4 linked regions of the Diceros bicornis minor genome follow. The protein of the gene in region 4 interacts with the protein of the main gene of each other region in a pairwise test. Links are inferred from orthologs where the notes say so. Each region holds a gene or a part of one and is shown on either strand. Other genes may lie near its edges. The genes, in order: GKAP1, E2F1, LAX1 and NDN.

Region 1 (7,721 bases), on a different chromosome or scaffold from region 4:
CGTATATTACATATTTATCCTCACAACAACCCCATGGGATGAGTGCTGTGATTCAACCCCTAGCAGTCTGCCTCCAGATCCCTATATCATTTTCTAACTTTTTAAAAAATTATTTAATTATTTATTTATTTTTCCCCCAAAGCCCCAGTAGATAGTTGAATGTCATAGCTGCACATTTTCCTAGTTGCTGTATGTGGGACTCGGCCTCAGCGTGGCTGGAGAAGCGGTGCATCGGTGCGCGCCCAGGATCCAAAGCCGGGCCGCCAGCAGCGGAGTGCCTGCACTTAACCGCTAAGCCACGGGGCTGGCCCCCCTATATCATTTCCTTTTCTTTCTTTTTTTTTTTGTGAGGAAGATCAGCCCTGAGCTAACATCCATGCTAATCCTCCTCTTTTTGCTGAGGAAGACCGGCTCTGAGCTAACATCTATTGCCAATCCTCCTTTTTTTTTTTTTTTTTCCCCCAAAGCCCCAGTGGATAGTTGTATGTCATAGTTGCACATCCTGCTAGTTGCTGTATGTGGGACGCGGCCTCAGCATGGCCGGAGAAGTGGTGCGTCGGTGCACACACGGGATCCGAACCCAGGCCGCCAGTAGCGGAGCATGCACACTTAACCGCTAAGCCATGGGGCCGGCCCCCCTATATCATTTTCTAAGCTACAAATTCATCTTCTTTTCAATTTGTCAGGTCTCTTGTCAATCCCTATTTATTGTTAAGTTATACAGGAGGTTTTTCACGTAGATTTTGAACATTTACAGTGCATTATCTGATGTGGCAAAGCTAGCATCACTTTTGATGTATCTCTTTGAGGATACATTTTGGAGGTAGAACAGAGTAGTCTATGACAAATTTTAAAGCATAGTCACTTAAACTGGGAAGCCTGGCAGGTGTTTATTTTATAATACAGACAGATGGGCATTTCCTCTTAAAGAAAGCAGTTATCATCTGTAATGAGACGTCAAAAAGAAGCAATTAGAAATCCCACATTAGTAACATAAAACTTTAAAGCGCCTGTTTAAATGAAACATGATTATCTGCAAGAGTTTAACATATTAAATCACTGATGGCCTTGAACTCTCTAATTCAGAGATTTTAGTACCAGGCTCATTATCACTACTCCAATGCTACCATCACTCCTGTGGATAATTCTTTGTGAGATAAATATATACATATTTTATTATATTATATATATATAGTGTGTGTATATATATATATTCCTTTCAAATCTTTACTGCCTCTCGATTCCTTGACCACCTGTCTTCACACGATCTTGTGTCCTCTGCTGTCTCAGCTCCCCCCTCTCATGATCATTCCCTGCACCCTGACATTACTGACAATTAGAGCCTCTCTGCTAATTTTAATTTCAAGCCTCCCACTCTCCAACCCATCTCCTATCGTTTCAGGTCATTCTCTATAGTACCTAAACTCCACCAATTCTTCAACCTGATCAGAAACACCAGCCTATTCACCCTACCATCTTTTCACCGCTCTCCACCCATCTCACAGCCTTACTTCTTACCCTGTCTGAAATTATATGCCTTCTTTGTTTCTACCCTCACCTACTTTGCCTATCTCTCCCCACCATTCTTGCTTGGCCAAATCTCAGTCCTGGTTAATCCCAAACTGCAGGTGAGCAACTGAATAAAGCTGGAGAAAAATGCACAACCACATTGACTGGTCTCACTATAAATTCATGACCACTCACTCACTCAGGTGGGCCCTTAGTAGTGCCTGGGAACTTTACTGTGTTTCCCTAGTCAAATCCCTCTCCCACACTCATAGGCTACTATTTTACCTCTCTTCCTCTCTCCTCCTCCCTCTCAAACTCCCCCCTCATTATTTAGTTAATGACTACATTAGCTAGAGTAGGCTAAACTGCAATAACAAATAGAACCCCAAATGTTATGGCTCCAACTCACTAAAAATTTATAACTTGCTCACATAATAATCCAGAGTGGGTGTTCCAGGTCATGGACAGCTCTCCTTCATCCAGGCACCTTCTTTCTGGTGAATCTGTCAACCCCAGGGGCTGTGGTCATCTGCATAATCCAGCTGGCAGAAGGGAAAAACACATGAAGGAGGCACACTGGCCTGGCAGTGCCAGACACCATTTCTGCTCATATTCCATTAGCAATAACTTAATACATGATCATAGCTCACTGAAAGAGCGGCTGAGAAAAATAGTCTGTGTGCCCAGGAAGAAGGGGAGAATAAATTGTGATGGACAATTAACAGTCTGCCAAAATGATCTTGTTTCTTATTTCACTGAGAAAATAAAAGCAACTAGAAAAGAACTTCTGCTTTGTCCCACTATCAAATTCACAAGCCTACTTTGGTATGTCCCATTTATGTGAGGACTGGAGGGATTATATTTCTAGGCTGTCCCTGATCACAAAAGGGCAGTTTCCAAGCTTTCAGTTAGAACAACACGGTCATAATGACCACACCGCCTAATCACAAAATTCAAACATACCTTCTTTCCTTGTGCTTTTCACCGTCTGTGGTTTTGGATATTGCTGATCATCATTCCTTCCTGCCTCTGCCTTTGTGAAACTCCACTTTACCTTGCTTCGGTGATTCTGCATTACCCCGGTTCTTCTCCTCCCCCTTTCTTCGCTGGCTTCTCTCATCTAGATTAGATCCCTTCTTGATTTGTTGGCTTCTCTCATGAAGGTCAGAGATTCTCAAACTTTAATGTCACACAAATCACCTGGGGTTCTTGTTAAATTGAAGATGCTGATTCAGCAGGTCTGGAGGGGTGGGGGAGGGCTGAGATTCAACCTTGCTAACAAACTCCCTGGAGATGCTGTGCTGCTGGGCCATTGACCACACTTTGAGTAGCAAGGTTCTAAGGAAGATGTTCTCCAAGATTCTGCCCTTTGTTTTCTTCTTTTCTCTCACAGTGGTATCACTGCAAGGCTGATAACTTCCCAATCTATTTTCTAGTTCAATCCTCTTTCCCATACTTCAAAACTTTTATGTCTAACTTCTTAGCGTCCACTTCTATCTGGTTGTCTTGACAACTTTTCAAACTCTTAAAATGTCCAAATCTAAACTGATCTCTCAAAAAGCAGTTCCTGCTATCTCTTATTGTTTCTTTTCTCTCTTTTATAATATCTCCAAACTCAAAACTTCCACTATCTTTGATTTTTTTCTCTTCCTTCTTATATTAACCTTCATACACAGCCTCATGCTATCCTCTCTTGCTGTAAACCAATTAATCAATTGCCAAATTCTGTTGATTCTGCTTCCACATCCTCTTTCAACCAAGCTCATTCAAACTCCTCCTGCACTACCTTTAGTTCAGACCCATCATTACCTTTCAACTGGCCTATTGCACGTCTATCTGGCAAGTTTCCCATCTCCAATTTCTATATCCCTTCACAAAGAGATTCTTCCCCAAAACTTTTAAACCGTGAAAACTAAAAGTACTGAAATAAATACAAATTTTTCCACTTTACATCCCAGGCCCCATTCTCCTTTGTCTCTGCCATTTCTCAACATGCCCCAGAATCTTACCATTTGCTTTTTCCTGAACATGACGTTCACTGATTCATATTCTCATGCTATACCTTCTTGCTGGAAAACCATCCCCATCTCCTTCAAGGTCAATACCAAATGCCTCCTTCCTCCATGCTGCTTCTTTCTTGACCCCCCAGATATGAACAGTTCTTGGATCTTCTGCAGTACTCTTTTGTATTTTTCACACAGCACCTATCATGGTTTGTCTTTTATTACAACTGTTTTATCTTTGTTTTATTCCTTACTCTCTGAAGACAAGGATAACATCTTCAACTCCCCTTTGTAACCCTGTAGCATCTTACCTATGGGGGTGTGTGTGTCTAGTATTAGTTGAATCAAAGTGATTTAGGGAGATAATACGATGCTGTGGCAAGCAGCACAGAACTCGAAAATCAGGACAGCTGGGTTCCGGCTCTGCCACTTATTAGCCGTGAGGCTTTGGGTAAGTTACTTAACTCCGCTTGTAAAATGGGAATCCCACTACCTGATGGAGCACCAAAAGAGGTAACGTCCAAGTGTTGTGTAACTCTACAGAGAACTGAGCAACGTTCGTTATTTTCCATACTGTGGCCTGATGTAGTCTCGCTATTCAAATCTTGATTTGCAGGACCATCCCTACTTCACTAACAGGAGGTCGAGCCCCGACAGGCTGGGAACCCGGGCCCCCAGGTCACGGCCCTTTTCCACTCCAGGGCCGTCTATCTGCTCTCCACCATGCAGGTGAAGCTGCCGACTGCTGGTGAGTGGCTAGGAGTCCTATTCTCTCAGGAGGCTTCCCTCCTTCCACCCATTCCGGGAAAGCCCTTCTCTTCCCGCTAACCCCAAAGACCGCGCCGCCGCAGCCTACGTGAGACGTTTGGACCCTGCCCGGCCCCCGTAGCTCCCCTTCTCCAGCAGGTGGTTCTGGTCCTCTCCCCCAACTCAGGGCGCTCACGTCACCGGCGAACCTCTACCCACGCGCCAGCGCCGCAACCAACCGAGAAAATAAACAAACCCCCGCGCGCGCCGGCTGGCGCGCCGACCCCGCCCCCGCCCCGCCCCGCGGCTCTCACACCGCCCCCTCCGCCGGGACTTCCCTCCCGCCCTCGGCTCGCAGCCGCGCGTTCCCCGCCCCTCACCGCAGCCTGCAGCCGCGCTCCGCCCAGCCCGGCCGGCCCCGGCGCCGCGGGGCCCGTTAGTGCCCGGCGCCCGCTCGCGACCCCCGCCGGGTGCGAGCCTGTCCCCGCCCCTCGACACTTGACCCAGCCCCGTCCCAACGCCCAGTGCTGTCGCCCCGGGAGCGGCGGCGGCGGGGGGAGGCGGGAGAGAAGGGCCGAGCCGGCGGCCGGGGAGGCCCGGTGAGTACGTGGAGGGCGGGCCGTTTGGCGGGGGTCCGCTCCGGCGTCCCTGAGGCGGTCGTGACGGCTCGGCCGCGCTGCTCCGTGCGCCTCGGGCTCGGCGGTTGGGGACTCGGCCTGAGGTGACGGGCCTCGCTGGCCGGAGGCTCTGGGCAGAGGGCGCGGGAGGCCGCTTCTCAGAAAGGGCCGCGGCCCCGACGCGCCGCGCAGGGTTCGGGGGCGGCGGAGAGAGACCCGCGCGGACCCCAGGCCCCGGCCGTGGCTGCGCCTCCCAGACCCCGCGGGCGCCGGGGCCCGGGGCCACAGTGGTCGCGGGGCCGCCGGCTGACAGGTGCCGCCGCCCCCTCCCCGCCGCGGGCATCGCACTCCCTCGCGGGGTGTCGGGCGCTCGGAAATTTCTGGAGCGACAACCTGACTCGCTGTTTTCTTCCTTTCAGGTTTTCGAAGCCGCTTCTCTGCCCGAGTTAGGTCTCGCACAGCCCTATTTCTTTCTCTGTGTACTTTGTGCGACGAAGTTTTGGCGCATCGGTTAACAGCCTGTAGGTGAAATTTGCCTTTCCTTCATGAATGAGGTATAGTGAAGTACTTTTGAAGAAAGTGCTCCTCCTCTTCCCCGCTGGCTATGGAAAAGTGTGGAGACGAGTTTTGGATTTTGTTTTTTCCTGTTATTGTTTGGAACAGGGAGACTCGCAGACTTTTTGTCAGATCTCTAGCATTTAGGGTGCTTAGTGGATATTGGATAGTAATGACAAAAATGGTTTATTAAATTGATTATGTTTTCTCTCCAGCTGCTTTTACATTTTTAATTCTTAGCTGGATTTTACAACTGAGTAGGTGCTACGGCTGTCATTAGAAGCACTAGTGGAAGATCGTCTTTTTTTTTGCTGAAAAGCCAGTGAAATTTTTTCTACACCGTTCAGTATTGTCTATTTCTTTATGTAGTAAATGTGCTCGTGATTGTAACCGGAATCCTCAGTTTAATAAATTTGACTTGCAGCTATCAGAATATTAGATGAACTTGACGGCGAATTAAAATATTAAAAATCTTTAATCTGTGGAAATACAGATTTTTTCCCTCAACAGGTTTATAACACTGTAGTTGATATTAGTCAAATTCTGATCAATGGGAGATTTTCTTAATTGTCATAAATGGTTTAACAAACTTATCTATAAGATACCAGTATAGTGGCTTCGGTCTGTGGACTAAAAGCAAGAACCTAGAAGTTGACTCAAAGAACGTTGGGGCAAATGAAAATACACGTGCTTTATTCATGGGAGAGTCCCTTAGGTTCTCACTCAGCACCTGCTTCTAGGTTTTGGTTAGATTTTTTCAGCCCATGGAAAGGGCTGAAGGCCCTTTAGAGACTGCAGGTTGGAGAGGAGGGGCAGTATTTAACTATGAAGACAAAATGGAATTTAGGGCATATCCATTAAGTTTGTGTGGTTTGTTTGCAATAAGTGTGTTGGGAGCAAAGTTTTGGTATGCACTTGGCACTTATTGGTTATGCACCTTAATTTATAAGAAGCCAAAGTGAAAGATACTGTTTAGTTGTGTTATTTGAGGAACAGAACATGAAATAATACAGTTTAAAAAAATTTCACCAGGTATTAAATCACTGATACTCAGTGCCGTTTCATCTTACACTGTTTTTTTAAAGTCTAAGTTACATTTCAGCGAGGCCACACTAATTGGCATCTCCATTGTTTTACTTTCTTTTTTGATCAGATTAACTGGTTGATAGTGTTAATGGAAGATGGCTGTCATTCATTTTATAAAAGGATATATTTGGTTGTTCTTGACTGAGAATTTTATACATATATCAGTTTTGAAGTGCCCTAATTGTGGTTCTGTGGACTGAGGTATGGCTACGGCTACCATCTTTCTTGACCCTAGAGAGGTTTTAGCCTAGAGGGGTGATGTAATAGTGGCCCTGGTCCTCAGAAGCTTGGTAGAGGACACCAAGAGTACCAGCCATTTAGAAATCCTGCTCTTGCAGTTTAGGCTATTCAGTAGTTTACTGAAGCACCTGATGTAGCCTAATTCTTTTTAATCAACACTTTAAAACCAATGTTGTTTTCTAAACAAATATGTTTCCTAAACAAAATTAGTTGTGGTGATAATCAGTTGGTAGAATGGCACTTATAATGAAACAACTTTGAATGGGTAATAATCCTTGTTAATTCACAGTTGCATTATGGGAATTGGGGATTAGCTACAGTGCGCTTTGCATTTTCTTTTGCTGTCCATTCTACTTTAGAGCACATCTTTCAGTGCATAAATAACTGTGTACTTGGGGAATGTAAATATTAAAAAAACAACCCAAATTCAGTAAATTTATCTTTTGTATGCCAGGTCCTGTGGTATTTGTTAGGGATAGAAAGAAGAGGCCCTTGCCTTTCGGGATGTTGAAATCAAGGTTGTAGGGGGGTGTAGGGGAGTGTAGGGGGTGTAGGGGGGTGTAGGCATGACAGTAAACAGATAATTTTAATGGAACCCATTCAGTGATAAAAGTACATATGAAGTGAAGAAATATAACAGAGGAAGGAAGGATTAATTTGAGGGGCAGATCAGAGAAAGCTTCGTAGAGATGCTAGCACCTGAGCAGGATTTTGAGGAATGAATACAAGTTTTAAGTGGAAGAGATAGAGGGCAGTTTAGGCAAAGGGAACAGCATATAGGTATGAACACGTAAAACTAAACGTGTGTTCAGGAAATTTTGAGTAGTTTGTTTTGTTGGAGCACAGAATCTGAGGAAGGACAGTTGTTACAGAAAGCACTAACATATACTGTAGTATTTAATAAGTCAGATAAGTGGCATATTGAGTATGTCTAAAATGGAGACTTCACTGTAATTTGACATTG
Region 2 (7,561 bases), on a different chromosome or scaffold from region 4:
GAATGGCAGGGCAAGTAAGGTCACTGAGGGAGGCAAGCCAGGCAGGGACTCTGGTGGCCTGGAGGGTCAAGGCTCTGACTAAACGGGGGACAGCAACTGCTTAGCACTGCGATGGCCTGGCTAGTATTGCCAGATATTACTGTTTAAAAGGAAGCCAAATATTTCAATTTTTATACAGTATTTCCCAATTTAAAATTTTTTAAACTAATTCATAATTCAGAAAAAATATTTTGTGGGCAAATTAAATCACATCTATGGGCCAGTTTGCAAACTCTGCCTGTCCTGTTTTCTCACTTAACCCTGACACCCATCCTGTAAAGGAGCCTTTGCCCCTCGGCCTATGGATGGGGTAAGCAAAGCCCTTCAAGTGGGTGCATCACTTCCTCAAGGTCATCTAGCCAACCACATGGCTGGGGTCTGCCTGACTCCCAAGGCTTGCTTCCATGTTAGCCTCGGATGAGTAAGAGGCCTGTGTTCAGACACAGCCAGAAAGAACTGGCACGGTGACAGAGCATCTCCAGGGACAGTAAACCGTCAGTCAAACAGAGAATTCAGTGTAGCAACAAGGGATCATTCGAGACAAACGTGATGCTGCAGACATAAAACTCCCCACCTCCCTCTGCCAGAACTCAACAATGGATGTCTCTGTGCCCCTTAATAAAATTAAGTCACTACAGAATCATTTCTCCCAATTATGCACTCGTTATAATGATGGGATGTTCCTGTTTGGAGATTTTTTTTTTTTTCAAGCTAAGAGTGTATGTTTAGGGAGGTGGTATATGTAGAATAAATAACTTTGAATTATTTGTGTCTTTTGTCAAACTTATTAATGAGCATATTGTGCAGGTACATAGAAATAATTCTGACTCTCCCACTGGACTATGAGCTCCAGGTATCAGAAATGGGTCTTTTTTGCTTCCAGCTGTTTCCCCAGCACCTAGCATAATGCTGACACATAGTAGGTACTGAATAAATATCTGTGGTTTGAATGAGTGAGGCTCAGAGCAAGTGAATTGACTCGTCCAAGGTCACACAGACCAAGGTTCCTTTTGCATCCACCTGATTTAGAAGCCCATGCTAGGGCCGGCCCCGTGGCTTAGCGGTTAAGTGCCCGTGCTCCGCTGCTGGCGGCCTGGGTTCGCATCCTAGGCGCGCACAGACGCACCGCTTCTCCGGCCATGCTGAGGCCGCGTCCCACATACGGCAACTAGAAGGTTGTGCAACTATCTACTGGGGCTTTGGGGGAAAAATAAATAAATAAATAAATAATTAGAAGCCCATGCTATCACTTCTACACTATCCTGCCTCTTGGCAAGAATCGCGGGGAAAATGTCTCCAGGCCCAGGATCGTGGGCCCAGGAGCTTACACCCCTTTGGACTCCTCTAGAGTAAGGAGTTGGTGGAGGTGGTGATGGGGGTGAGCACCTGCTAACTGAGCCATTATCCACCATAATACCTTTTGGAAACCACACATTGTAATCTTGACAGCCCGAGCCTAGCTCTTGGGGTGTTTACAGAGGATGACATGGTATGAAGGGCAGGCCCTCCCGGGTTTTGCAGTGAAACAGGCCAAGTTCTCATCTCAGTTCTGCTTTGCGACCTTGAACTGCACTTCCTTCCTCCTGCACCATGTGGATAAACAAGCCTCACTTATGGGATTATCAGATTGAAAGGAGATTATCAATGGAAGTGGCTGCCCAGTAACTGTGGATGTTCTGGAAGCCTCCCAGCCTGAGGAGAACTGTTGATGTTGAGAACAGCCTTATCAGGCTCTGCCAGGCTTGGGGCCAAGGGAACCCATCTCTCAGGCCTTTGCTGCTTTCAAGTGGGTATTAATAGATACAGAATGCCCTTATCTCTTCCTTGATTTCACACTGGGAATTCTGATCTTCGCTCCTTTCTGCTGCAGCAGAACAGGAGAGATGGTGGGAAGGAGAGCACTGGCTTCTACCTGGGAGGCTGTGTACTTGAATACTTTGGGGAAAGGCAGGGCTTTGAAACACCTCTGGCTTTAGCCTCACCAAGCCTGAATAATAGCCTTTCATATGCTAGGTAAGCTTGTGCCCTTTGGGCCTCAGTTTCCTCATCATAAAATGGGGCAATAATAACAATATCTGTCTTTTCCAGCAACCAGTACAGTGCTTGGCACATGGCACGTGCTCAATAAGTGTTTGTTGAGTGACTATTGGGTATGAGAGTGCTTTACAAAAAGTGAATGTTACTGTTATTGAGACCCTTTGGGAAGGTGTGGAGGAAGGAATCTCCATCTGGAAAGGGAGTGTTACTGGCTTATCTCACCCTCTGTCAGGGTCTGGCTTGGTTATTTGATTTTATTTTATTTTTTTTTTGTGAGGAAGATTAGCCCTGAGCTAACATCCAATGCCGATCATCCTCTTTTTTTGCTGAGGAAGATTGGCCCTGAGCTAACATCTGTGCCCATCTTCCTCTACTTTATATGGGACGCCGCCATGGCATGGCATGGCATGACAAGCGGTGCGCTGGTGTGCACCCGGGATCCGAACTGGCGAACCCTGGGCCGCCAAAGCCGAGTGCGTGCACTTAACTGCTTGAGCCACCGAGCCGGCCCCCTGGCTTGATTATTTTAAATGAGACCTACCATTCCAATAGTAGCTTCTCTAACCGGGGAGGAGAAGGGGGACAGGCTGGCCCCAGGAATGGGAATCCAGTGTAGGCCCCATTCTATCACTGGCTGGCTTCACAGGTCCCTACCCCTGAATGGGCCTCAGTTTTCCCATCTGTGCAGCAAGAAGCTTGTGTAGTCTTTGTGGTTCCTTCTAGTGCAGACACAGTCTAGGATCTGCAATGAGTGATTTCACAAACTGCTTAGGAAACTCCTGCTGCTTTCCTAAACCACCTCATAATTTATAAAACACTTTCAGATCCCTTAGGCTTTTCATCCTCATGGCAGCCCTGGAAGGGGCCAGGGCAATGTGCCCATTTTACAGATGAGGAAACTGAAGCTGAGAAATACCCTCAAGGGGCTGTAATTTGAGGCTGCACCACACATTTTGGTTATACGGGTATACCAATTTGTTCTCAAATGGGAAAAGCACAGAAAAATCACCTGGAATGGGGATCGGGGGCTGCTTGTGAAAATGTGGATTCCTGGGCACTTAGAGATTCTAAATTGGCAGGGCTGGGGTGGGGCTAGAGTTAACAAGTGCCCAGGTGATTCTGAAGCCAGGGGCCTAAGGACTACTCTTGCAGAACCAAGGCCTCCTTGTGGCATTCTAGGTGGCCTCTGGCATCAGCCTCTGTGTTTCTTTCCTAACCCTTCTAGGTACCTGCTCTGGGCCAGGCCAGTGTTGGGAAGAGGCCCCAGTCTGGTAGGGGAGGTAGATGGAGAAACCCAGTGTGTGGTCAGTGCTGGAACAGAGGCAGCATCAGGCAATGGAGGACTCTGGAGGGCTCCCTGGAGGAAGTGATGTTCATACTGGGCCTAGTGATTTGATTCTTGTTTGTGTCTTAACTACTTTTTTTCTTGTGGGTCATCCCCACCAGATGGCAGGCAAATTCGTGTAAATCATGAATTTCACATCTCTGCCCTCAGTGCTGGCACAAGGCCTGACAGAGGAGGGGACAATATTGGTCAAACCAGCTGACCTGCACAATGAGAAATGGCTGATGGAGAGGTCCCAGGGCCTCCAGATTAAATGCATTTTCATGCTCAGCACCCTCACCTGCTCCCTTGGTGAGGTCTAACATGGAGTCACTTTTATGGTGGAAATTCCTCATCGTATCGTAAACATGTGTTACCTCTCTGTTCCCCTCCTCCCTTTTTCACTAAACTGCGAGTTCCTTAGAGCCAGGAGTCAAGAATGGGGCACAGAGCAGGCTGTCTAAACGTTTGTTGAATGAATGAGTTCAAGCAGAAGCTGTGTATGGGCTATTGAAGGGATTCCAGCTATAAGGGAGCTTGCAGGAAAATCCCAAACTGTATTAGGCCAGAAGTCCCACCCCCATTTCCTAGCAGCCCCCTTCTGCTTGGGCTCTGGGTGACAGGGGCTTTGGAGGTGGGCCTGAGAACCCAGAAAAGAGGAGGGGCAGTTTCTAGAGATCTGGGCTGAGGGTATTGGGGCTACAGGTGGGGGAGGGGTGGGTCGGGGGGGTCTGGGGGTCACGTGGGGTCTGCTGATGGTGAGATGTGCAGAATAGACGCTCAGTCCTAAGGTCTCCACAGAGGATCAGCAGCGTGAGGTGTGTCCGGGGGCGGGGCCACCACGCCTCGGGCCGGGGCCGTCCCGGCTGCGCGCGGGGAGTGCTAACGCGCCTGGCACCGCCCCGACAAAGCCTGCGCGCGCCCGGTCCCGCGATTGGTCGCGCCGCCTCGCGCCGCCGCCCCGTCCCGCCCTCCGCCGCCGGTCCGGCGCCCTGCAGCCAATGGGCGCCGTCGCCGTCGCCTCCGTCACGGCCCGGACGGCCAATGGTGGCAGCGCTCGGCGGCTCGTGGCTCTTTCGCGGCAAAAAGGATTTGGCGCGTAAAAGTGGCCGGGACTTTGCAGGCAGCGGCGGCCGGGGGCGGAGCGGGATCCGGAGCGGGATCGAGCCCTCGCCGCGGCCTGCCGCCATGGGCCCGCGCCGCCGCCGCCGCCTGCCCCCCGGGCCGCGCGGGCCGTGAGCGCCATGGCCGTGGCCGGGGCCCCCGCGGGCGGCCCATGCGCGCCGGCGCTGGAGGCCCTGCTCGGGGCCGGCGCGCTGCGGCTGCTCGACTCCTCGCAGATCGTCATCATCTCCACGGCGCAGGACGCCAGCGCCCCGCCGGCCCCCGCCGGCCCTGCCGCGCCCGCCGCCGGCCCCCGCGACCCCGACCTGCTGCTCTTCGCCACGCCGCAGGCGCCCCGGCCCACACCCAGCGCGCCGCGCCCCGCGCTCGGCCGCCCGCCGGTACGGACACCAGGGACTCTGGGCTGAGAGCGCTGCCTCGACCCCCCGCGCAGACCCGGGCGGGGCGCGGTGTTTGGCCCGGAGGCCGCGGGGGCGGGGGAGGGGTGGGCTGAGGCGCCCGGCCTGGGCGGTGCCGAGCCTGGGCTGAGCCTCCGGGCCCCGCCCCAGGGTGCGGGGTGACCTCGGGCCAGTCCTTGTTTGCTTCTCTGTGCTCTGGGCCTCAGCGTCCTCACCGGAGCCTCGCGTGGGTCAAACTCAGAGATAATAATGGCCCACGTGTATTCAACTGGCGCAGACTGCATGTCAGGCCTGGCAGACTTCGAGCCAGCTAAAACTCACAACCATACTGAGAGCTCGGTGACCCATCTGAACTGAGGCTCAGAGAGGGCAAGTGACTTGCCCCGGTCACACGGCTGCAAGTGGTGGGACTGGAATTTGAACTGAGGGCTGCTGGCTTCAGACCAGAGCTTGTAGCTGAGTAGTGGGCATGGCTGCTTGGGGAGGTGAAGGAGGGTGTCCTGGGGCCAGACCGTTGAAGAGCCATTGAGGAGATCCTCCTTCCTGCCTCAGCGCTAGATTGCCAGGTGCAGGCCTGGGCCTCTGGGGACAGGCCTCCTGGCTGGGAGGCCTTCTCTGCAGGGGCGGGGTGGCTGGGCCAGCTGCTGATCCCCTCCCTCTGCCTGTCCTTCCATCTGCCACCCTCCACCCGCCCAGGCTCTGGTTGCTATGGAACCTCATTAATCAGGCAGGCAGACCCCTCTGCCCCTGTGGAAGTACTGGGTAGGCTGGGCCTCTGGGAGCTGGAGAGGAGGCCCCCCACCGCAAGGAGAGAGTAAACATCCCTGGGAGATGCCTTGATAAAGTGCTCCCTGAACAGCAAGAGGCTTAAGACCAGTTCAATCTGGGGGGTCCAGAAGAGGTGGGGGAGAAGGGAGTGGAGGCCTGATGCTTGGACTTGTGGGCTGCAGGACAGGGTGTGGAGACCAGTTTGACTGGCACAGCTTGTGAGTGAAGGTGGGGCGAGCAGGAGGGGTCTCAGCAGGGGGCTTGGAGCAAGTGGGAGGGGTGAGGCAGGGCCCAGCGCAAGGAGGTGGAAGCTGCCCAACTGCTGATGGGGGCCTGGGTGGCAGCTGGTCCCTGAGGCATCCCGGCAAGGCTCCCCCAATCTCCTTGGCTCCATGCCCAGTGCTGCCTTCCGGAATCACCAAGATGCTAATACTAATAACAATAGCAGCCACCATTGTTTTGAGACTGTTTTGTGTGTCAGGCTCTGTGCCAAGCACTTTACCCAATTAACTTGTTTAACCCTCTCAACAACCTTCCCCTTTTACAGATAGGGAAGCTGAGGCCTAGAAATCTTAGAACCTTCCCTAGTCATTCAGCTAGTGAGTGGTAGGACCAGTCCAAATTTCCCGAGCAGTTAACTGCTGTGCTAGGATGCCTTGCCTCCTAGAGATGCTAACAGATTGAAGGAAGCCCAGGGCCCCTTCCTCCTACTGAGTGAGGAGGAGGGGGTCCCAGGATTGGGTCACCTGGCTTGTCTCCTATATCCTGGTGGCTTGTCCCTGCAGGTACCAGCTTGGGACCTGGACAAGTATCCTCCATTGAGCTGACTGACAAGTACATACAGGCCCAGGACTGTGGGTCCTGCCCTCAAGGAGCTGAGCTCCAGGCTCAGAGATACTTCCAGGGATGGGGCTGAGGAAACGTGCCCTCCGCTCCACCCCCAGTGGTGTTGGGGCAGCCTCACTGGGCCTGAGCAGTCCATTCATTCAACAGTTGTTGAGTTAGTGCACGCCCATTAGGTACTAGGCACAGAGGCAAGTAAGGAGCCTGTGCCCTCACAATACTTAAGGGCTAGTGGGCATTTTCTGCTGGTGGGCAGGGATGGGGGGTCAGCTTTTGCCCTCTAACACCCCCAACTCTTGTGCCTTTGAGTAGCCGCTGGCTGTATGCGCTGTGACCTCCGCCGACCCTCTGCACTGGCATTTGTTTGGGGCAGTCCTTGAAACAAGCTACAGGCTCAGCTTCTGCACCAGTGCGCATTCATAGAGCATCTCCTGCATACGAGGCTCTGCAATTCAGCCATTCCTCCTGGCTCTTCGTATCCACCTCTACCCTGTTGTCATGGCTTTAAAAAACAAACTAAATATAATACATATTTACTGTAGAAAAAGAGTTAAGAGGTGAAAGTTGAAGGGGGCAGGATCTCAGCCCCATCCATCCTTCCTTCTCTTTTCTTTTCCTAAGCCTATTTTGTGTGTTTTTTTAAAGGTGGTTATGACAGCTTTCCTTTTCCAAAGTTTTAAAAATTGTAGTTTTTCCTTTATTTCCGTGTTCAGACAGTGCATTGTTCACACTTTACAGAGAAGGCAACAATTCCTCATGGAACCTCTCCCCATACGGAGGTTCCTCCTGAAATGGATTCTATAATAACAGAAACCGAATCAGAGAAAACAGGTTTCAGGAGTTTTTTAATCCAAAAAGGGATCATATAAGTGCATTTCCCTATAGCATTTTTCTTGTCTTTGAGAGGATTCTGCGTCGACCTGCCTCAGTCCTTGACAGCTGCTGGTATTCCTGGGGCTGGATGAATCACGGTTTTTGTGGCCCCCTCCCGTGGATGGGCATTTTGGGTCATGAGATTTTTCACCAG
Region 3 (7,263 bases), on a different chromosome or scaffold from region 4:
AAGGTGGGAGATCTGGATTGTTTGAGGACATGCAGGGAAGCCAGTGGTTGGAACTGGGTGACTAAGTGGGAAAGTGAAAGAGATGAGTTCAGAGATGGAGAGTTGGAAGTGGGGGCAGAACCTGTAAGCTGTTATGAGGTTGGCTTTCATAAAATGGGAATTCATTAGAGGGTTTTAACCGAGGACCACAACGATCTATCTTGCACTTTAAGGGGATTATGCTGGCTCTCATGTGGCTGCAATCTAGGGAGAATGGAAGAACAGAGCAGCTCTGTCTGCACACAGGCCGCATGTGGGCCCAGCCTAATACCAAGGGCCACAGGTAAACCCACGCCCCACCATCATGCTCTCCTATGACACACAAAAGAGAAAACAAAAGGCTTGCTCAAAAAAAAAAATTAAATTAAGACATGCTGCTTGCCACCCTAGCTTGTTTCTGACGCCCTGGTTAATGAAATGATTGAAATGATATTCTACTCACTCACACAAGAAGGGAGCAAAGAAAACCATCCTGACCTGTGCCTTCCCTGTTCCAGCCTCCGACTCCTGTTGGCACGCCAGCTGCCCTTGGTGTTTCTTCTGAGATGCGCTTTGCTCTCGTCGATGCCTAATGTGACTGCCCACCCTGCTCCCTCTGCTGAGGAGCTGCCTCCTTCCTGGAGCAGGGGACAGACGGGCTCTCTTCTGTGGGCTGGGGGAGGGACGTCCGGCTGAGACAAGACTAGGGGCTGTCAGCAGACATGTGCTCATCCAGACGTGCCTCCCAGCTGGCTCTACTCCGGCTCTGTGGTTGCCAGGACTCAAGTGGAGGCTGCCAGACATAGAACTCCAGAAGGACCAAGCAGGCAGAGGTCACCAGACTTAAGGGAAGGGTTCTCTTACTGTCAGCCATGCCAACCCCCCTCCTCCACCAGGGCTTAGCCTAAGTGGGGAACGGAAACCATCCCCTTGTCTGCTCACACTCCTTGCTTCCAAATTCTCCTCACTCTCCCCAAGGGCCTTGGGTGGAGCAGGGGCAGGAAGCAGAGAAGTGAGAGAAATATTTCTGTACTTTCTAAATCTTTCTGTCCTAACCCTGCTCTCTCAGAACTTTAACTTAAAGGGAAGGTATTCGCGGCCTTTGTTCTCTGTTTCAGACTTGTCTGCACTGGAGAAGGCCTCCAGGACACAGATGAACGAGTGGGTGGGGCTTGCCGCCATCAAGGCTCCACCTATCACCCTGCGGTGGTTGTCTCAGCTCCCAAATCTTCAGAAACAAAGCCTAGCTGGAGCTGTCTTTCACACAACGCAATTTTGGCATTTTTTGGCCTAGAAATACAAAAGCGGCTGTTAACCCCGTCCTGGAGCAAGGAGACACACCGGGCCTCAGGTTGTCCTTCCTGAGAGAGGCAGTGCAGGCCTGCCGTGTTCACTTGGCTGATGAGCGCACAGCAGGAAAACAGGCTAGACACTGATCGATTTCCCAGTATCTCGCCCCATTACACACCCAGGTCATAAATTCACAGCAGCAATAAGCACCTAGGAGAACTTCTTAGAGCCCAATTAACTCTTATGGTCAGGCACTGTGCCAAAAGCCAGAGAACAATAAATACAACACAGTCCCCGCCCTGAAGGGGTTCGAAGTCTACTTGGGGAGACAGACATTTAAACAACTAATCCCAACAACTGAGAGGTGCTATCACGCATGGTGCCGTGGGGACACAGAAGAGCAAGAACCCGGCTCTCAGGACGGGAAGGCTTCACGGAGGTGCTGACACTTGGGCCACATTTTTTTTTTAATAACAATTTTGTTTTTTACAAAAATTACACTTGATCTTTGTAATAATTCAAGCAATAAGAGCCCAAAGAAGAAAGCAACAAAATACCTCAAGCCCCACAACCCAGAAATAACCAGTATAAACTCTTAAAATGTGATTTTATTGGAATTTTACAAGAGAAAAAGAAACTGCTGTTAAAATGACGGAACTTGTCGTGCAAAGGCCCAGAGTATAAATGTGACAGCAAGCCGGGTCCGCCTGGAATGCAGAGTGAGTACAAGGCGGCGGCCAGCCGAGATGACCACTGCACGGCGGCAGGGACCGCGTCTGCCTTACGTGCAAAGCCAGGGCCTCTTGTGCAATGGGAGACGGCCCGCAAGTATGTGCTTCGAGACGGAAGTAACACATGGAAGGTCGGCGGGCTAAGCATCAGGCGAGGAAGAGCGAGCAGTCCCTTAAGTATAAAGAAATGAGCCTAATGCATAATGAGAGAATAACATAATAGCAGCCCCATTTAACGAGCTCTTGCATGTGCCCAGTCCTAAGCAAGCGTTTTTCATTGTTAGCCCCGTTATTTCTCACAACAGCATTGCCTACGCACTGTCATTACTGTCATTTTACATCCAAGGAAACACCCAAAAAGGTTGGAGGCCCTGCCCAAGATCAACCAAGTAGTAATTTAGGATCTGAACTCGTGCTGATGTTCCTCACCTAGGGCACCTGTCTTCCAAAGAGGATTCGGAAAGGTTTTGCTGTTAGCAACATCACTGAGTTAGCATGGAGCCCCTGCCCTCAAGGGGCTCTGCTCACTTGGGTGCATAGGTTCTGTCAATTTAAAGCCGGTCTTAATACTTTAGAATCGTGAGTCGCATTCAACTCCTGAAATCATTGAGGCTGGTGAAAGGCAAGTACAAGAGCACGCCGCTCTAAACACAGCGCCGTTTCCCAGAAGGAGGAATTGTCTTCCACACTATGATGAATAATTTCAGACACCTATTTTGTGTTTAGGTTGGTTGGTTTTGGCACCTCGGGAGGGAATGGAGAGCAGGGTGAGGGCGCAGCCGGGGCCTGGAAACCCGGAGCTTGGCCTGTAGCCTGCGAGCCTCCTTTGAGGGGCTGTTTCCCTCAAGTGTGGGGGCAGGAGGAAATCAGAAGACTGGAGGGGAGATTAGTCTGACTCAGGCAGGCTGGTGGATGAGGGAAGTGGGGACTCAAGATGGTCACACACAGGGGGACGTTCTTGAAAAGCATTTTTTTTAAGTAGCAGTCAGAGCTCCGAGGTTCACCCTTCCCGTGTACCACCTTCTAAGCTCCCGCTTCACACACCATCCCCTATTGGCACCAGTGGCTGAGGGCAGGCCTGAGGGCCTCTTTCTTCCACCAGTCCCGGCCACCACCCAGTGTGACAGACTGCTGGTCTTTTTCCCTGTGAGGTGTCCTAGTTGTTACTCAGACCTGATCCAAAGGAGAAGTGGGCAGAGACCCAGGTTCCAGCTCTAGAACCAGCTGTCTCTGAGCTTCCTGCCAGGTAAGGCTACTTGGAAGGAAGGCAGCAAGGACCTGGAATGGCAGAGCTCTGGGGGGCCTTCCTGGGCCAACCTGCAGCCCCCTCCCCTGGGGGCCCTGTGAGAGCCTAGACGTACATAGGGCAGGGGCTGACAGCTCAGGGAGGCCAGGGGCCTTGATGTCCACTGGGAAGAGGTGGGAGAGAGGCATAGGGAGGAGGCATCACCTATCTTCCCTACCATCCACCTGGGAATCCATTTCCTTGTGGAAAGTGAAGTCAAAGGCTCTTCTTCACACCCTCATAATAGTCTTAGTGGCCCCTTCTCTTTGGACTCTCCCAAGATGCAAAGCGAGTTTCAGGAGATTGGTGAGGGGAAGGGAGTTAGAAACAAATCTGGAGCAATCTTTGAAGTTTGGCACACTTGGGGTGCACATGGGGGTGTACAAAAAGCAGGCCTGGGATGGATCTTCTCCAAGAGCCCTGCAAGGGAGACAGCCAGCACTCAGGGGCCACTGCAGGCAGGCCTTCAGGAAGAGATGGCCTCCAGGGCCCCGCTAACCCAGCCTCAGCTCCACTCTGAGGGTCAAACCCAGAGCACAGGTTCTCAAAGGTGGAACACAGACCAGCTCCATTAAAATCACTGGGGAAGCATTTATGAAAACAACCTGTCCCCCTCTGGACTCTCTGCCCATGGAACAGCCGCAGGTGCCAGAGCTCTGCGTTTTTCTAAAAAGCGTCTTCCTAGGCTCCTTAGACCTGCTAAAAAACATGATAAACCTGGAGGTTTATAAAACACTAGACGTCTCAGAAACCCAGGGTGAACAAGCACAGATACCCCACCACCTTGCTCCAGCCTCAGTCACACTCCCACAGAGCACGGCACACCTGGCTGACCCAGGGAACAGGGGCACAGACAAGTTTTCTTCTCTTCGTAAGAGCTGAGCAGCGTTTCCTGTGCCCCACGCTCCGTTAGCACGTTGGTGGTGTCGCTTCCTGTGACTGACTCTCTGTTTCCATTCCGGCACAGTGTTTGCTTTTTTCTCTCTGCTTTGGGGGTTGGAGGAAGAGAAGCTTCTCACGGTGCCTCTCTAGGGCCTCTTGGCAGTCTCGCCCTGGTGCCCCTCACACTTCTACCAGAGGCAAAGACCACAGCTTCTCCCGGAGCCGCCTCGCCGGGGGAGCCCACGCTGGATGAGCCCTCGCCTCTGCAGTGGGCATTGTAGCCGCGTCCAGGTAGAACCAAGCCTGTTGTCTTCGTATGTTGGGTCAACTCAGCCTGACATTTCAGGGGTAGGCACAAAGCAGGGAGTTTGTTGGAGGAAAGAAAGTTCTAGAGAGACAGATTGGGAGCTTTAGAAAGGAAGAAATAAAAACCAATAGACTTTTTTTGTGAGAGACTTTGGTGAATAAAGATTTAAGAAGAAATTTTGAGAGTTAAGAGTTGTACATTAGGGAGGGTTTGGAAGACATGAAAACCAGGAGGATTTCTGTCATTCTTGTCTACTAAAAAAAGTGGTTATAGCACACAGTATGATATGTAAAACACAAACCAATTTTGCCTTTTCTGCTGGGAGTCAACAACTTAGGAAGAGCCAGGAAAGTGGCAGACATGCTGGCTGGCTGATTGTGATTGAAAGGAGGCTTAGAAGGAGGAGCTGAAGCCAGAGAGGTTCCTGTGACAATGGCTGTCACCACCCCAACCCTCTCAGAAATCAGAGGGAGGACGGCGGAGCCCGGCACTCTGCAGGTCACTCGCAGCAGCCTGGACAGGTGAGTGGCTCTGGGTGGTGAGCTCCACCCTCCCTTGATTAGACAGAGGGCCCTGCTCTACCCTGGCAGCTTCTACCCCAGCAGTGCTGCCACCCCTTGCAACCAGGCTCAGGTCCACTGAGACCACCAAACTCTAGGCTCAGAGAGGTTTGCTCAGGACTGCTGGGAGGAAAGGAAGAGGTGTCGAGGAGAAGAGGGAGCTGCTGGGGAAGAGGAAGGCTCTGACAACACAGGATTTTCTGAGAGCTGGCTGCCTGGCCTGGTGGACTTCTCTCCTCCCTGAGGTCCTGATAACTGTCCTCAGTCTTTCCTGTCCCTGATCCCACCAATCATTCCTCAAAAAACAAGTAGGTCCTGCCATGATGGAAACAAAAGGCCCACTTATCTCAAGGATGTGTTTTTAGGTCCTAAAAACTTGCCATGAATGAAAAATGTAATCATAGATACGATAAAGATATGTCTTTAGGACACAAAATCTCACAGAACTAATCATGGATGTAAATTTTACAGCTAAAACTTTCAACATTGGGCTAACAAAAATAAAAAGTCCATCAGCAGTTGAAAGGGTAGGAACACTAGTAGGTATAAATTTCAGTGCTATGATAACAGTACAACTCAACCGTAATAAATTTAAAATCACTCTAGTTTGGGGAAATAAATGTTATTACCATGACAAACACACACATGTCATTTGCAGGTGGACAAGAGCATTGATGGGGGATGAATTAATAAAGCTGTCAGAACCCTGCAGCCCTCACCCCCCAAAAAAACTATTTTTATATTCATTCACTCGTTTATGAATTCACTCACTTGTTGATTTAACAAATACTCATCAAGCCCCAATAAGTCCAGGCACTGTTCCAGGCACCCAGTGAGCAGGAGAGACAAGTCCATGACCTCCTGGAGCTGACAGCCAAGTGGGCAACTCAGAGATAAGCAGAGAAGCAAATGAATGTAGACTATAATGTCCATTGGTCGTAAGTGCTAGGAAGAAACACCAGAGGAGAGTATGGGGACTGACAGTAACAGGGTGTGGCCCAGGAGCACCTGTCTGAGGAGGTGCTATTTCAGGAGAGACCTGAATGAAATGAGGGCCCAAGCTGCGCAGACAGCTGCAGAGGAGGGCTCCAGGGAGAGGGAGCGGCAGGTGAGCCAGGACTGTGCTTTGCGTGGTCAAGGAACAGCCAGGAGTCCTGGCAGTCAAAGTCAGAGGGAAAGGGGTAGGAAATGAAGTCAGAAGGTCACAGAGGCCAGAACAGAAGGTGCTGGAATTCCTCCCTGGGGAGGGACCATGGGTGTCATCCCGAGTGTGATGGGGAGTCATGGAAGGTTGCAAGCAGAGGGGCGCGATCTGATTTACTGTTGAGAGAATCACGCTGGCTCACATGTGAAGATAGTATTTTGTGGCCAAGAGTGAAAGCAAGGAGACCCATTAGGGAGGCTACTGCAAAGGTCCATGGGGAACACACAGTGGCTTGGAGCAGGGTGGTGGCAGTGGAGGAGCGAGAGGTGACTGGGTTTGGGATAGATGCTCAGGAGTTGAGAAGACAAAATCTACTGGTTGACTAGAAGCGGGTCATGAATGAAAGGGAGCAGTCAAGTATGGCTCCAGGGTCTTGACCAAGCTACTAGATGATGGGAAACACCAAAGGAGGAGCAGCTTTGTGGGGGGAGAGCAAGAGTTCTGTTTTAGACATATTTGGTTTGAGATGTCTATTGGGCAGCCTGGTGGAAATTTCCAGTATAAAGTTGGGTAAACAAGCCTAGAACTCAGGAGGACAAAAACCTTCCCTGCTAGATGACCTGGTTTCTAATATTTGGGGGTAGCATGTCTGCTAGTGATTCCTTTTGGAACCTCGATTGGCTGCTTCCTGTTACAGTAGGCAAAGCAGAGCAGGAACTCCAGGCCTGCCAGAGAATTACAAGCAGCGTGGCCTTGCTTGGTGCATTTGCACTGGTTAAATTACACAGAACAGCGGAGTGCTGCTTGGAGACCAGCTCTCAGGTTGGTGCTGTGGGGGTCACTCAAGCACGCAAGCTGGACTCTGTCACAGGGCCACTCCGTAGCTGTAAGTTGAGTAATCCTCTCCTCCAAGCAGGACAGGAAGCCCAGGAGCAGGATGAGGGGAAGCAGGGGCAGATGGACTTGATGTGGCGAGTTTGGAGGACAGTGCGGTGCTCTGGAGCTAGCACAACCCTTGGGCCCAAACAGACCTAGACTCACATCCA
Region 4 (6,602 bases):
TAGTTTCAGTGGTTCTCAGAGACTGAACTGCCCATAAAAGGGCTTTTAGCAGTGTATGGGGAAAGTGTCTTTTTGTTTTCTTACACTTTGTTTTCATTTTTCCCATTTCTGGAGGGCATTTATATGTGCGTTTGAAGGGGACAGAGGCATAAACTGCTTCGGTGTGCATTACACTCTTACGCAATGAAAAATTTTCCCACCCTCATGTCAGGATGTTACCCTTTGAAGAACCCTCCTCTAGAGGCTTTCTCAGGGTGACGTTATTTACCATCTTTGTTTCCCAAACTTCTCTTTCCAGCCCAAGCCTCTTTCGTGAGACCTATATATCCAGATATTTGCTGGACATGTCAACTCCCTCTTCCCACTACCTCTCTCCAAATAGTCTCAGGAAGTGGTGCCTCCATATCATAGCTACATGGCACTGCTCAGTCTTAGCTGCCCCTGAGACGGAATCTTTGTCATCCTTGATACTCACAGTCTCCCTTCACCTTCTCTTATTATTTATATCTTCCCCAGCATCCCTATTGAACATGGGTTCCCTCTGTTCTATTCTCTGTGACAACATTGTTGCTCCCTAGCAATATGCATCATAGAATAATGCACGATTATTTAATACTCATTTGTTTGTTTGCTTATGGCCCCTTTTCTCCACTAATTACCCTCTCTCTAGATTGCAGAGACCATGTCTCTCCTTCTCATTATATCCCCAGGCACAAAGCCTGAAATGTAGTGTTTAATAAATACCTGCAGAACGAAGTTGAAATGCAAGCCATCATTCTTTCTCAAGTGGGTTCCTGTGAAAGATCTCCTAAATGGTCTCTCTGCTTCTCCTTATCCACCTGCCCCCAACTCCAGACTTAATTCTAGTGACATTTCTAAAGGACACTCCTGATCTTGTCAGTTCCTAAGTGCCAGCAGGCTACATTGTGGGTCTGGGCAGGACTAGAAGATCTCCCGTTTTAGTGAGCGTCTTTTGGCCTCAGTTGGACAGGCATGCACAGCGTTATCCTAGGGAGAATGCAGGGATGAGGGGCCAGGGTTGAGTCCCCTCCTCCACTCTCCCAACTGTGGAAAGCAGCACAGCCTGTCCTCACTTATTCTTTTGAAACAAAAAGGAGCCAGACAGCCAAACAGTCCCAATGCAATTGGTTTCCCCCTCAGACTGAGCTACTTTTCTAAAATGCAAATCTTTCAGGCACATGATAGACATTGCTCAATATTTGCTGAACACATTAATGTGAATTGTCTGTCTCAATTCCTTGGCCTGCAAGGCATTTGGGGCCCATATGGGGGCTCTAAGGTGGAGGTTGCTGCCTATGCGTACAGGAAAGAGCCAGAAGGATTCACATTTCATTCGGGGCCTCTGGGCCTCCGCACTGTGAGCATGCGCGCTGTCCACCGGAGACTCTGGGGTGACCCCCCTTCCTCTGTTCGCTATGGAAACCAGTGCCAGGACAGGCCTCTCCTCCTATTCCTGAGTCTGCCAAGAACAGCCTATTCCACAGCTGTGTAATCTGTTCCACATTACAGAGTTTGAAGTAACCCACCAGCAAAACTGTCTTCAGCAGAATGTTTAAGTTATAACTTCTCCATATACTTCCTGCATCCATGGAACTTCTATTTACAGAAACTTGACTTAAAGAGTAGCCTTTAATGAGTTTCTCTGGGGAGTTATTTTGTAAACTTCAAGCCTTTGCTTCTAAGCTGCTGTCCCTGAAAGGACTCATTGCCCTTATCAAATAGGGCTAGCCCTGGAGATAACCAGCAAGCCTAATTTATCCCCAGCATTCTCAGAGCATCACCGGAGCTCCAGCCCTGAATCTCGACCCTTGAATTAAAGAAGCTGTGGATGGCTCTTCTTTCCTATGGTGCCTTCTGTCCTTTTCCTTATCCTTCTAAAGGTCTGCATGTCTGGTTCACGGGTAGGCACTTTATTAGATAGCTATCAAGCTACTGACCTCTCCCATGACACATGTGCAGTATACTTTCTCTACTTAAAGGCTAACCCGAGCATTACTTTTTTCACCCCCCACTCCATGAATTTCCTTCTTGGTGGGAAATGGACCCTCTTCAGCAGACCTTTTCCTGGGAAGAAAATGATATCCCTTTAGGAGGCATACAGTTGGGCTCCAAGGGTGAGCAGCACTGGGAATCTACTATGTACTTGGTTTCAAACTTGGGCGTCAGTCCCAATGCTTTAAACTCTCTGAGCAGAATCCCTTATAGTAGTTCTAATCCACAGGCTCTTGTGCAGTAATAAACAACCCTCCTGTCAGAAATGAGGTGTGAAGTGAGCTGTGGTAGTAGTGGGGGTCAACTGTTGCACATAGGCAACTTCACTAGAATGAGGTTCAGTCCAGGAAACCCAGGCAGCTCTCTGGCCAGAGCTCTGAGATCCCACTACAGCAGGAGCTTTTATAATTTTATAACTGTTGCGTTTTTATAATTTTTCTTATCATTGCTTTCATAATTTTTATAAACAAGTGTTTTTATACTTTTATAATTGTTGTGCCCGAGCTTGTGATTTAATTTCATGAATCCACTAATTCTAGGAGGGAGAAATTTGAGGATGTAATTTTAATAACCTCACAATGGCAAAAGTTATGGCATATGGCCAAAGCTGAGCTGAGATTTAAATAACAGTCTCTTTCATTTTCATTATTAGAAATACCATAAATGAACTAAATACTTAACCCGAATAGTTAGAAAAGAATATCCAAATGAAAGAAAAAAAGAGGAAGAAAAATTAATGGTGATAAAATCTGAGAAATGAGGATTATTCTCAAGAAAAATGTTTTTAATAAATCAATTCAACAGCCACTCGTAAATAATTTTAAAAAAACATATAACTGACACAACTCTGTAAGATGTACTCAGAAAAATAGAAATCCATAACTTAAAGAAGAAGAAGAAAATAAACAGGAAAAAATCCATCGAAGACACATCTCAAAGATCTGTAGAAATTATCCTTTTGAGGTGAAAGCTTAAGGAGACCTACTGGAGAGACTGGTGTGGGACTGGTCCTGCTAAATGTGATACAAGCATGGACATCCAAAGATAGAGAAACAGCATGGAAAACGCTTCAAAGTCAATCTACTTGAGAGAAAAAAAAAAGTGAAAAATAAGAAAGGGATACAAGCAAATAAAGAGAGGACTCTAGAAATGTCAAGACAGTATTTAATTATGCTTTGGGTTGCAGGTGACAATATCCAGACACAAGATGGCATATTTATGAAGCTGTTGGCTTGAGGAAACCCAGGAAGGGCTGAGGGACCACGCTAGCTCAGACCAGGGATGTTGATCACTCTCAGGAACCCTGGATCCAGAGGCTTCTACACCCACCCACTCCTTTCTTCATGGGTGCTTCTCTGAGAGTTTTGTTTTGTTTTGTTTTGTTTTTGCCCACTGCAGATCTGTTTTCTGAAACTGGAAAACACAACTGCCAATACGTTGCATCTGATATCCTTGGTCATCTGAGAGAGACTGCCAGATATGATCTATGGGACCCTTGTTAAAAAAAAAGTCTTGGGAGGGATTTGCGTGTGGCTGCCAACATGGGAACAGTTAGTTGCTGCGAGAGGGTGGGGGTGGGGCCCTGTGAGAAGGTGAAGTTCCCACAGAACACAGAGTAGAGGTCGCAGCAGTCATCAGGGGAAGGAGGGAGCTGGGCAAACCAGGAAAAAGATATCATACAAATTTATGCTAATAAATATGACAATCTTTGTATGATAAGATCTTAATGGAAAAATTAAAATGAAATCAAAATGACCCAAAGGAAATGGAAAACCAAAATCAATGACCAGTAAAATACTAACAATGTCATTAGCATAGCATCTCCAAGAAAGTTTCCTTTGCACATGGATTGACTATATTCTGCATTTCTTATTTTATAATCCCTCTGATTTGGTAGGGATTCCGTCAATTTTCATTGGTATTTCTCAGGATTCCAACCTCAGACATCCTCCTCACAGTTTCTATATTTTTTGGGGGGGCGGGGGCAATCTCGATTGTTCTCTCAGTTTAAATTCTCACATTCGCTGCCATGAAATGCCAGTTTACACACCAGCCTAGATCTTTTTCTGGGACTCTCATATCTAACTTGATTCTGGATATGCCCACTTGAACATTCCCTAAGAAACTCAAACTCAGCATCTCCGAAGCTTAAGTCATCTTTCCTCTTAAACTTGCTCCTCTTCCAGTGCTCATCCATCCCTCTCCCCTCCTCCTCAATACCTCCTTAGCCCAAACATTGACACCTGGGGATCACTGTTGCCATAATTCTAGCGGCGCCTCTACCCTCCTTGGGATCTCAACGCACACCCGCCCCCTTCGGGCTCCCCGCCCCGTCCCTGGGAGCTCTGCCTGCGGCAGCGGACGCGCAGGCGCAGTGGCCCGTCCCTCCGCCGCCCCGCCCCGCCAGGCCGCTGCGGAAGGCGCCGTGCGCAGCAAGGCGCACTTCCTCTCCAGGAGTCAGCGGAGGGAGAGTAGGCTCGAAGAGCTCCTGGACGGAGAGGCCGTGTCGTTGTCAGACGGAGCAGACATGTCCGAACAAAGTAAGGATGTGTGCGACCCCGGCTTTACAGCCGAGCCCTCCAACTCCGAGGTGCACGGCAGCCCTGGGGTTCCCGGGGGGCTCTCTCCGCCCGAGTCTCAGGACGCGACCCTTGCAGGGCCAGAGAGCCCTCCTCTAGGCCCGACCGACGCCCCTCTGGCCTCGCCGCCGCCCCAGGCCCCAAGCGAAGAGGGAGACCCGAAGGCCCTGCAGCAGGCCGTGGAGGAAGGCCGCGCCTACCAGGCCCCGAGCGCGGCCCAGCCCAGCCCAACGCCGCCCGCCCCGGCCCAGCTGGTGCAGAAGGCGCACGAGCTCATGTGGTACGTGCTGGTCAAGGACCAGAAGAGGATGATCATCTGGTTTCCAGACATGGTGAAGGATGTCATCGGCAGTTACAAGAAATGGTGCAGAAGCATTCTCAGGCGCACCAGCCTCATCCTGGCCCGAGTGTTCGGGCTACACCTGAGGCTGACCAGCCTGCACACGATGGAGTTCTCGCTCGTCAAAGCACTTGAGCCAGAGGAGCTGGACAGGGTGGCGCTGAGCAACCGCATGCCCATGACAGGCCTCCTGCTGATGATCCTGAGCCTCATCTACGTGAAGGGTCGCGGCGCCAGAGAGAGTGCTGTCTGGAACGTGCTGCGTATCCTGGGGCTGCGGCCCTGGAAGAAGCACTCCACCTTTGGAGATGTGAGAAAGCTCATCACCGAGGAGTTCGTCCAGCAGAATTACCTGAAGTACCAGCGCGTACCCCACGTTGAGCCACCTGAGTACGAGTTCTTCTGGGGCTCCCGTGCCAGCCGCGAAATCACCAAGATGCAAATCATGGAATTCCTAGCCAGGGTCTTTAAGAAAGACCCCCAGGCCTGGCCTTCCCGATACAGAGAGGCTCTGGAGGAGGCCAGAGCTCTGCGGGAGGCCGATCCCACCGCCCACTGCCCCCGCAGCAGTGTCTCCGAGGACTAGCAAGGTCTGGAGGCAGATTAATGGTTTCTGACCCTCACCAGGGCGGTGGAAGGGTGGGGGTGGGACATTAGAGTATTCAGGATTTACAGTGCAGTATTTCACGTGTAAGTTTGTTTTCAGTACAGTGCTTTTATACCTTTTAATGCAATGTTGTATTCATTTCCGTACTATTAGGTAGTGTGTAGGATTGATGCATGTTTGTTTATAAGTAAGCTTTGTTGGTGCTTTCGCTTTTTGTGCTACCTTTCTTGAATTTTTGTACCAGAGATGTGCTAAACTTATGAAATACATTGAGAAATTTTCCAGCTTATTCTTTTATATGGAACGGATGATGTGTATTGGGGTAGACTGCTCCTGGAGAGTTTGGAAGAACTCACCAGTAAAGCTGGCCTAACCAAGAGAAAAGTCAAGGCCCCTCTCTCTGACCTTGCTGGGCACAGGAACCATCCGTGTGGAGTGCAGTGATATGAACTGAAATGGTCTCAATGTGGGCACTTGGCACACTTCACTGAACACAAATACAACCCCACCATGAGTAAACTTTAAAGTAAACATTAAAGATTCTTGTGATACAATCATTTTTGGAAAAGTGTTCATCTTTTAAACAAAGTGGTATGGGTTGGGAATAAGACATTTTACAAAATGTACAAATATAACTTTCATCTAATAGGGTGGGAAAATCACTACTTATCATTACTCATAGATGTGTGAAGTTTATAGTTTTTTTTTAATGTAACTCGTTCATTTCAAACCTTTGACAAATATAAAAAAGTATAAAAAGAAAAAGCAAAAATGCTCATAGTCACATCACATAGAAATAATATTTAGAGTAATTTCCTTTCTTGTATTTTCTACATTTTATTAAAATTAATAGCTGTCTCTTGTGGGCAGTTAAGGACTGAAGCATTTTACTAAATGCTTTACATGCATTTTCTCCTTTTATTTAATCCTCACAACAGCGTGATGAGGCAGGCACTTAGTACATCTACACCATGGAGGAAACACAGGAAAAATGTAGGTAATTAACTTTACCTAGATCATAAAGTTTAGTGAGAGGAGGAGCTAGGATTCGAACCCAGACAGA

What was found.
Region 1: the proteins of NDN (region 4) and GKAP1 interact in a two-hybrid assay, tested with the Homo sapiens proteins (2 studies listed by BioGRID and IntAct). The link is inferred for Diceros bicornis minor from reciprocal best matches to the Homo sapiens genes NDN and GKAP1.
Region 2: the proteins of NDN (region 4) and E2F1 interact in a two-hybrid assay, tested with the Homo sapiens proteins (2 studies listed by BioGRID). The link is inferred for Diceros bicornis minor from reciprocal best matches to the Homo sapiens genes NDN and E2F1.
Region 3: the proteins of NDN (region 4) and LAX1 interact in a two-hybrid assay, tested with the Homo sapiens proteins (2 studies listed by BioGRID and IntAct). The link is inferred for Diceros bicornis minor from reciprocal best matches to the Homo sapiens genes NDN and LAX1.

Annotation. Positions count from the first base shown.
Region 1 is NC_080761.1:10,021,730-10,029,450, forward strand, and holds the start of GKAP1 (G kinase-anchoring protein 1), read left to right. Parts: upstream 1-4,710; 5' UTR 4,711-4,858; intron 4,859-5,295; 5' UTR 5,296-5,397; exon of another isoform or gene 5,398-5,430; intron 5,431-7,721. UniProt on the Homo sapiens protein: Regulates insulin-dependent IRS1 tyrosine phosphorylation in adipocytes by modulating the availability of IRS1 to IR tyrosine kinase. Its association with IRS1 is required for insulin-induced translocation of SLC2A4 to the cell membrane.
Region 2 is NC_080758.1:26,081,591-26,089,151, forward strand, and holds the start of E2F1 (transcription factor E2F1), read left to right. Parts: upstream 1-4,552; 5' UTR 4,553-4,644; coding exon 4,645-4,905; intron 4,906-7,561. UniProt on the Homo sapiens protein: Transcription activator that binds DNA cooperatively with DP proteins through the E2 recognition site, 5'-TTTC[CG]CGC-3' found in the promoter region of a number of genes whose products are involved in cell cycle regulation or in DNA replication.
Region 3 is NC_080743.1:101,886,879-101,894,141, reverse strand, and holds the start of LAX1 (lymphocyte transmembrane adapter 1), read left to right. Parts: upstream 1-4,249; 5' UTR 4,250-4,497; exon of another isoform or gene 4,498-4,838; 5' UTR 4,839-4,945; coding exon 4,946-5,034; intron 5,035-7,263. UniProt on the Homo sapiens protein: Negatively regulates TCR (T-cell antigen receptor)-mediated signaling in T-cells and BCR (B-cell antigen receptor)-mediated signaling in B-cells.
Region 4 is NC_080744.1:76,965,339-76,971,940, forward strand, and holds NDN (necdin), read left to right. Parts: upstream 1-4,449; 5' UTR 4,450-4,540; coding exon 4,541-5,518; 3' UTR 5,519-6,093; downstream 6,094-6,602. UniProt on the Homo sapiens protein: Growth suppressor that facilitates the entry of the cell into cell cycle arrest.